2 linked regions of the Canis lupus familiaris genome follow. The protein of the gene in region 1 purifies or fractionates together with the protein of each later gene. This does not show direct contact. Links are inferred from orthologs where the notes say so. Each region holds a gene or a part of one and is shown in the gene's direction. Other genes may lie near its edges.

What was found.
Region 2: the proteins of HMGA1 (region 1) and EZH2 purify together in Homo sapiens (affinity purification with mass spectrometry; 3 studies listed by BioGRID and IntAct, with this or other methods). This does not show direct contact. The link is inferred for Canis lupus familiaris from reciprocal best matches to the Homo sapiens genes HMGA1 and EZH2.

Annotation. Positions count from the first base shown.
Region 1 is NC_049233.1:3,713,749-3,717,482, forward strand, and holds the end of HMGA1 (high mobility group protein HMG-I/HMG-Y), read left to right. Parts: intron 1-378; coding exon 379-429; intron 430-1,795; coding exon 1,796-1,849; 3' UTR 1,850-3,132; downstream 3,133-3,734. Other genes in the region: SMIM29 (small integral membrane protein 29), read right to left, coding at 3,662-3,727. UniProt on the Homo sapiens protein: HMG-I/Y bind preferentially to the minor groove of A+T rich regions in double-stranded DNA. It is suggested that these proteins could function in nucleosome phasing and in the 3'-end processing of mRNA transcripts.
Region 2 is NC_049237.1:1,579,615-1,584,017, forward strand, and holds the start of EZH2 (histone-lysine N-methyltransferase EZH2), read left to right. Parts: upstream 1-1,549; 5' UTR 1,550-1,604; intron 1,605-4,403. UniProt on the Homo sapiens protein: Polycomb group (PcG) protein. Catalytic subunit of the PRC2/EED-EZH2 complex, which methylates 'Lys-9' (H3K9me) and 'Lys-27' (H3K27me) of histone H3, leading to transcriptional repression of the affected target gene.

The DNA of each region.
Region 1 (3,734 bases):
CCGTTCCATTCCGGGGTCCCCTGAATCCCCAGAGAAATGGGGCCAAGCAGGGTAGGCCAGATTTACAGTGGCATCAGTCTCTCAGAGAAGTTGTTTTGTTTTTTATTTTATTTTTTCTGAGACACGACTCATATCCTCTGAGTCATGGGTGGAGGAGGGAGTGGGGGGCGTGTGTGTATATTGGGGGGGGGGTGCAGTGTGGCTAGCCAGTCATCACCAGCTGGCTTCGGGTGGGCCCGCAGGCTGAGGGAGTCCCAGGCTGCCCTGAGCAGAGGTAGGTGGTTCGGTCCCTCCCCATCCTGGTGGGGCACTGGGCATCCGGTGAGCAGTGGTAGGGATGTTTTTCAACTTAGTGGATCTTTTTCTCTGACCATCTAGAAAACTACCACAACTCCAGGGAGGAAACCGAGGGGCAGACCCAAAAAACTGGTAGGTGAAGGGATGGCGGCGGTTTCTTACTTCCTGGGAGGGTGTTTAAGAATGGGTGACAGATTAGTCCTGCGTGCTCTGCCTGGGAAGATGGCTTTGCCCAACCTGAGCCAGGAATCCTAGTGGGACATCATCATTCTTTCTACCCAGGCCTGGAGAGGGAGAGGATGTGCGTGTGGCCGAGGGTCCTGGCACCCAGCCCACGGCTTTTAAAGGGCTGTGTCCCTGAGAAGTGAAGGGTCCTGGGGACAAACCAGACTCTGACCCCTGCCCTGCCCTGGTGGGTTGGGGCTACTTCTCTTTCCTCTACTCCTAGAACAGACTCCATTTCTAGGGGGAACTTGGAGGTCATCTAGTCTCCCACCCCCGGGCCCCATTATAGAAATGAGGAAAGAAGACTATGAGCATAGGGTGAGGTCTGTCCTCCCCACGCTCTTGGGTAGCGAAGGAAGCAGCAGCAAAGGAGCTCAGCCCTGGGGCAGGTGGGTAGTGCTCTGTGGGAGCAGAGAGGTGATCCCACTCAGCACCTCAACTGGGACCATCCGATTCTGAGCCCCCCCCCCCCCCCCCCCCCGCCCCCAACACCTGTTAATGAAAGAAGGTAGGCGGAGTCCAGGAGGCTGCTTCTAGGGCCTATACTGAAGTTAAGGCCACCCCAGCCTGCTCTTTCTGGCCTTTTCCTACCTACCCCACCCCCCAATCTGATCTCAAGGCCTTCATTCCTCGAGCTGAGCCACCACCAGGGTGAGGAGGGGAGTTAGGGGGTGCTGGCCCGGCCCCAGGAGTGAGTAACAGGAAACAAGTTGTTTTGGAGTTTGTGCCTGGCACGGGGGCCGCAGGCCCATGTGGTGTCCCGACATTCCCGCCCAGTGAGTGAGCCCCGGCGGCACACACTTCCCCTTCCTCCCCGCCCTGGCCCGGGGTCAGTCCATGGCCCATCAGCTGCCTCTGCGGGCCAAGGCCACCTGGTTCCCCGGCACTGCACCCAGCACACCCCGCAGCCGCCCCTTCCCGCTTCCTCTTTCTGGCCACCTCTCCCTTCTCTTCCTACAGAGAGCCACTCACTTCCTCAGGCTGCAGCTCAGTGCCACACGGGGCTCTGCGGGTCCTGCCATGTCCACCACAGGCCCGGGGGCCAAGGGGGCCTGGCCTGGTGCAAGAGCAGCATGTGTGTGGGGTTTTTTTTTTCCCTCCCTCTAAATTCTTCCTTTTTTATGAATGAAACTGGGCCGTGGAGGTTGCTGAGTCACTCACACACTCAGCCTTGACTCATCCCCCTTCTGGAGAGCCAGGGAGCCCGGGGAGGGGTGGGAGCGATCCTGGCCTGTGCCTGCCCCTCCCACTGACTGCCCTGTCCACCTCACAGGAGAAGGAGGAAGAAGAGGGCATCTCGCAGGAGTCCTCCGAAGAGGAGCAGTGACCGCGCCGTGCCGCCCGCTCCTTCACCGAGGGGCAGTTTCCTTCTGGGACTGGACAGCTCCGCTCCGCTCCCACCGCCCCTGCCCCTTCCCCCAGACCCACGCCTCCCCGCCACCCCCCTGCGCCTTCACCACCACACTACACAGCACACCAGCCGCTGCGGGGCCCCAAGGCCCGAGTGGGGAGCCGTCTCCTTTGGTCTTGGTTTCCAGTGACCCCTCCACCCACACGCACACTTGCCCTTCCAGACAAGGCTGACTTCCCACTGCACCGTATGCCCTGCCCCTGCCGCATCCTCCTGCTCAGTGGTGGGGACATCGCTGACCGGGCTCTTGGCTTTGGGGGGGGAATCCCTTCTGCTTCCCCTTTCTTCCTCTGGCTACCCACTAAGGGGCCTGGGAGGGCTCCCCTGGCCTTAAAAGGGGCCCAAGCGCCCATCTCATTCTGATCTGCCCCACTCCACAGCACTGGCAGCAGCAGGTATGGCCGGTAGGGAGGGGCACTCGGCCCCAAGACGCCCCCCGACTGACCTGTGTTTCATTAGGTGCGGTTCACACCCACTTCTCTTCCTTCCCACTTTGCCTGGTCCCTGCTCTGGGTCAGACAGCCCCCTTTGGGCACAGGAAGGAAGGCAGGAGGGGTTTGAGCCCCCCCTACTCTAAATGGGCTCCAGCCCACCTTCCTTCCTGGAATCTGTTGCAGTGAGGGAAATGCATTCCCCCCCTTTATCCAGGTGAGGCTCAGGAGGTCCACGGTCCCTGTGGCAGCCACCTGAGGTGGGCTAGAGCGCCTGCCCAACCCCATGCGCTTCCCCCTCGGCCTCAGTATCCCCTTTCCTTACATGGGGCACTGATAACAAGGAGCTAGCCTTGCCCACTCCCACCCTTCTGCTCCTCCCCACCCCCCAAGGTTCTGGTTCCATCTTTTCCTCTGTTCACAAACTACCTCTGGACAGTTGTGTTGTTTTTGTTCAATGTTTCCATTCTTAGACATCTGTCATTGCTGCTGTGACCAGCGCCAAATGTTCATCCTCATTGCCTCCTCCTGTCCTGCCCACATCCCCTCCTCCGAGACTCTTAGGGGAAGGGCCCCAGGGCAGAGCAGGCTGGGTTACCGATTACCCCAGTCCCAGGGAAGGTGGGGCTCTGCCCCTAGGATGCTGCAGCAGAGTGAGGGGGGGGGCCTGTATAGACCGTCAAGGGTGTAGGGGCCACCTTCTCCCCCTGTTCTGCTGGGGAGGAGGTAGTCATTATTTGTCCCAGCCTGGGGCCCCCCCATCTGGTTTCCTATTTGCAGTTACTTGAATAAAAAAAATATCCTTTTCTGGACTGGAGTCTTCCTCTGGTGGGCACCTGGGGTAGTTGTGAAAGGTGTGTGGAAGCCAAAGATCTAGTTGAGGGGGTGGCTTACCCAAGGGCTCTGTTCAGCTCAGGAGAGGGGAAGAGAAGTATTAGCTCCAGGGAAGGTAATTTAAGCCTTTCTTGGGAAAAAAAAAAAAAATACCCCTAGCCACAAAACATTTTATTTACAAAATATATATACTGAATACTATACATTAGGCCCTGTCACCGTGGAAACTCGTTCAAAGCCAGGTGGTGCCCATGAGACGGTGGGTGGTTGGCTGCACCCTGTCACACAGGGCTGAGGGCCCTGTGGAGGGTGGGGGAGTGAGGTGCTGCTGGGGATGGGTGGAAAGAGGAGACAGTTCCCAGCAGGGGGAGCTGGGTGAGTGCTAGCGGAGAGGGAGGCAGCAGACTGCAGGCCCAGGGCACGCCCCAGATCCTATGGTTCTGGAGAGCTGGGAGGGGTCTGGTTAGGTCTTGACATCCAGTAAGGGCATCCGCTTGTGCTGGTAGCCACTCTGCCAGCCATGGACCACCTGTGGG
Region 2 (4,403 bases), on another chromosome or scaffold:
TGGATTTTTGCGTTATTTCACAGTTACATCTCACATGCACAACCTACTCTTGCACTTATTCTATGTTCATAACCGTGCTTCCATTTGGGCACACGGTTATTTTCCTCTGTGGCTTCCCGCCGCATGTAATCCTGACATTGAATTGGTCGGGAATACAGCTGAGCAACTGGACGATGATTTAGGAAAAGGTGGGAAAATTATGGCTTAAATCACCAGACCAAGACTTGAGTCATTAAAAAGTCTGAGCTAATTAAAAAAAATCATACATATAATATATAATATTATGTTAATATATTAAATTTACTATTAACATAATATTATATTAATATATGATAATATATTACAATATTATAATACTAAATATACATATATAAAAGAAACACGGTGTCCTTAGGGTTTTAGACTCAACAGTTCGTAGGTGACCCGGGGTCTGACTCTCAGCATGGAACCCCAGTTCGCATGAGTGATGTTCGCATCCTACCACTGCACAGTTGCATCCTATAACTAACTATATAACTGCGTCCTGCTAAATAAATTCGGCCCAATCTTGACTTCCTCGACAGACGAGAGCCAAAGGGGGAGGAGACTGTGCCCTAAAACCCGACACGTCCCCGATTCCTCCCGGTGCGACAAGGTTTTCCTCCAAGATCACCTAATGATCATCGAAAAGGGTTTTCGTTTTCCAGAAGCATTAGCAGGAGGCGAGGGAACCACAGCGGTCCTTGAGCAAGGATTCTCTTTCATCTTCCCTGCACGCCGACACGCGCGCTGCCAGGGTCCGGGCTCGGCGTCTGCCCCGGGCCCAGGTGCGGGGCGCCCCTGCAGCCCGGGTCTCTAACCCGGTGCGCCGCCCCCGCCCCCGCCCCCGGCCCCACCCCGGCCCCGGCCCCGGCCCCGCGCTCCCCGCCCGGCCCGGCCCGGCGCGCGGGGAAAAGAGCGCGGCAGTTGCAACCGTTACCACCCCCGAGTTTTGAACTGGTTCAAACTTGGCTTTCGGCCCCGCCCCGCCTCTCGGGCCCGGGAACTCCGAGGCGGCGGTTCCCGCCAAGCGCCGCGAGCGCGCCGTCCCGCCCTCCGGCCGGTTCCCGCCACCCCGCCCTCCCCGCCCGGGCCCGGCGCTGCGCAGGCCCCCGCGTCCCCGCCCGCCCGCCCGCCCGCCTTCCCGCCTTCCCGCCTTCCCGCGAGGCGCCGTGCGTTCCGCCAAAGAACAAAGAAACGGCGCGGCGCTTCCACTCGGCGGCCGCGTCCCTCAGCGCCCGCCCGCGCCCGCGCCCGCGCCCGCGCGCACGCGCCGCCCGCCCGGCCCGGCCGAGTCCCGCGGGCGCCTCTGCGTGGGGCTGGCGCGGCGCCTCCGAGCCCGGCGGGCCCTGTGATTGGACGGGAGCCCGCCGCGGCCCGCCAATCGGGGCGGCGCTTAGTTGGACAGGGGGGGCCAAATAAAAGCGCTGGCGATTGGGCTGCCGGGTTTGGCGCTCGGTCCGGGAGCGCCCGACACCCGCTGGGACGCAGAAGGCGGTGGGGCCCCGGCGGCGGCGGCGGCGGCGGCGGGAGCGGCGGGAGCGGGAGCGGGAGCGGGAGCGGCGCGGGCTGGGCGCGGGGCGCAGGTAACGCGCCGCTGTCGGGCCGGCCGGCGGCGGGGCCCTGGAGCCCGGCGGGGGGCGGCGGCGGCGCCGGGACATCCCCAACGCCGCGCTGCCCGTGCGGGTGTCGCCCCGAGCGGGGTGTCGCGGGCGCCGGCGCGGCGGGCGGGGGGCGCGGGGATGCCGCGGGGCGGGGGCGGGAGCGGGGGCGGGGCGGGGGCCGGGCGGGGGCCGCGGGCGCCCGAGGCGGGGGGCGGGGGCGGGGGGGGCGTGCGGAGGGGTCGTCCGCGGGCGCCGGGCTGGCTGGGCTGGGGGCGCCCGCCGTCCGCCGTCCGGGCGCGCGGGCTCCTTTGTGTGGAGCGCCGCGGCGGGGCGCCCGGGCGGGACGGGGCGCGGGGCGCACACAAGTTGGTGGGACCGCGCCGCCGGGCGCGCACGCAGACAAAGGGCGGCCGGCGTCTCGGGGCAGCCCCGCGGGCCTGACAGCGGGCGGGGGCGGCGCGGGGAGCCCGGCGGCGGGCGCTCGGCCCCTCGCCTCTCGCCCCGCGCCCCCTCCCGCGCCCCGCGCCCCCTCCCCGCGCCCCGCGCCCCGCGCCCCCTCCCCGCGCGCGGGCCCGGCGAGCGGAGCCGGGGCTGGGGCGGCCGCGCGGACGAGGCGGTGCCGGGCCGCCCTTCTCCTAAGTTTGCGGGCAGGGCAGGGCCGGGCAGGGCCGGGCAGGGCCGGGCCGTCCGCCCCGTCTCGGCTTCCTGGGCCTGCGGGGTCCCCTCTCGCCCTCCCTCCCCTCCCCCGTCTCCTCGTCCCCACGGAGTCCGTGCCGCGGGGTCCCTTTCGGGAAACGGGACGAGCCGAGGAGCGTGCTCTTTTCGGAAAACTTGGGTGAACTCGGCGCGTCTCGGGGAGTTCCCACTTTGCAAAGAATCGCCGTCCCCAAGAGAGAAAAGCAGCCGCGGGCCGCCCTGGCCAACCGGTGGGGTGCGTCGGAGGGGGCGGCAGGTGCCGAGGAAACCCGCTGCCCCGCAGGCGGCCGGCCCCAGGCCCCGCGGCGGGACGGCGGCGAGCACCCTGCGGGCGGGCGGAGGGGCGGGCGGGCGCGGGACCGACGCGCGTCTGGAGGCTGACGAGCTCCTTCCCACGGACGGGTCTTAACTTCCCCCGAACAATAGGTTTGGGGAGGCAGGAAAGCCTGGACGCAGACAGCGTGTGTCGCCTAAGAAACCCAACGTGTGCTGCCCGCAGTCAAGCTAAACTTCCTTTGTTTGCAGCACAGGACCCGTAAAACTTAAAAGATCCGTGTGGAAATAACAACCCGGCTCTGGAATTGAAAAGTATTCCACACGGTTTGCTTTCTTGGTTCCGGAGCTCAGCGGTTGCATTCTTTGGCGTTTGAAAATTACCTAAAGCAACCTTTGGGGAAGAAGAAGAAAAAAAAAATCTTAAAAAAAAAAAAAAGTCCAGTGCTCGTACGGTTGAATTATGATCTGTACTTCTCTGGGGCTTTGGAGGTGGTTTTTCATCACTCTTCTTTCCGTGAGCATTAGCAACTCTTTTTCATATTTAGGAATAAAGTGGACAGGTGTTCAGAGCCTGACCACTTTATTGATGATCTTATATGCAGGAAGACGAAAATGGTTGAGATGTATCTTGATGTTCTTTTCGTAGGGTCTAAGTTGGGGCTAGATGGGATTCTAGTCCTATGTGTAAAGATTCCTGTATGTGTTTTTGTAGACCGATCAGGATACGGGATGTTTAAACTCTTGGAAACTTAGGAAAATTGCATCTTCCTTTCTGATTTTTGTGGAAACCGAACATATTCAAAGAAAAGGAATTTAGAGACCCACAGGCACTCTTCTTTATTTGCGTTCTGATAAAGAGCTAATGTGCACCTACTGTCTTCTGGTTGCATAAAAATGGAGACAAAAGAAACGCAGTGTGAAAGTCTTTATTACGAATATTTTGCAGAGACTGTTGGACACCGTTGAACGGACGTCCCAGGTGCTGCCTCAGGGTTGAGATGCTTAAATGATGTTTAGATTTAGTTGCTGATAATTATCTATTAAAAAGTCCTGATAGTTCTTGCCCACTGTTAGGAGATGAGTTATGCAGATCTTGGCAGAAATTTGGATCTTTTAGGATAAATTCTAGTTTTTCCCTTGTGTATTCTGTAATTGATAATTACTGTCCTTATACGTGCCACAAAAATTTTTTAAAAAGCCTTTTTGGGGCTTTGGCTTAGATTTTTTTTTTTTTTCTGGTTGAATTGTGAGTATATACAAGTCACTTTTAAGTAGCAGTGATTAAAAAAAAACACTTGTTGATTTAGGGCAAAATAAAAGTTCTGAGACATTTATGATAGACATAAAGAGAGAGAGACAGAGACAGAGAGGCAGAGACACAGGAGGAGGGAGAAGCAGGCTCCATGCTGGGAGCCTGACGACAGACTGGATCTGGGGACTCCAGGACCGAGCCCTGGGCCAAAGGCAGGCGCTAAACCGCTGAGCCACCCAGGGATCCCCAGTTCTGAGACTTTTATGCCAGCTTTGGCTATTTAAAAATTTTAAGCAGATTTCTCCAAGTCCTAGTGACGTTTTTCTAGATTATCTGCCATCCCTTGAGCTGGCATGCTCAAGGAGTGTGAATTTCTGTATTGGCCTAAATAGTGATTAAGAAAGTTGATCTGCTTCTTAGAAACTGACAAATGAAGTTCTTCTAGCGTCTAATGTATTCTAAGGTCAATTAGAAATGATACACGGATTTGCCTTGGATTCTTTATGTCCCTACAAACGATGAAAACATTTTCTGTGCATTATGAAAGATTGCATATA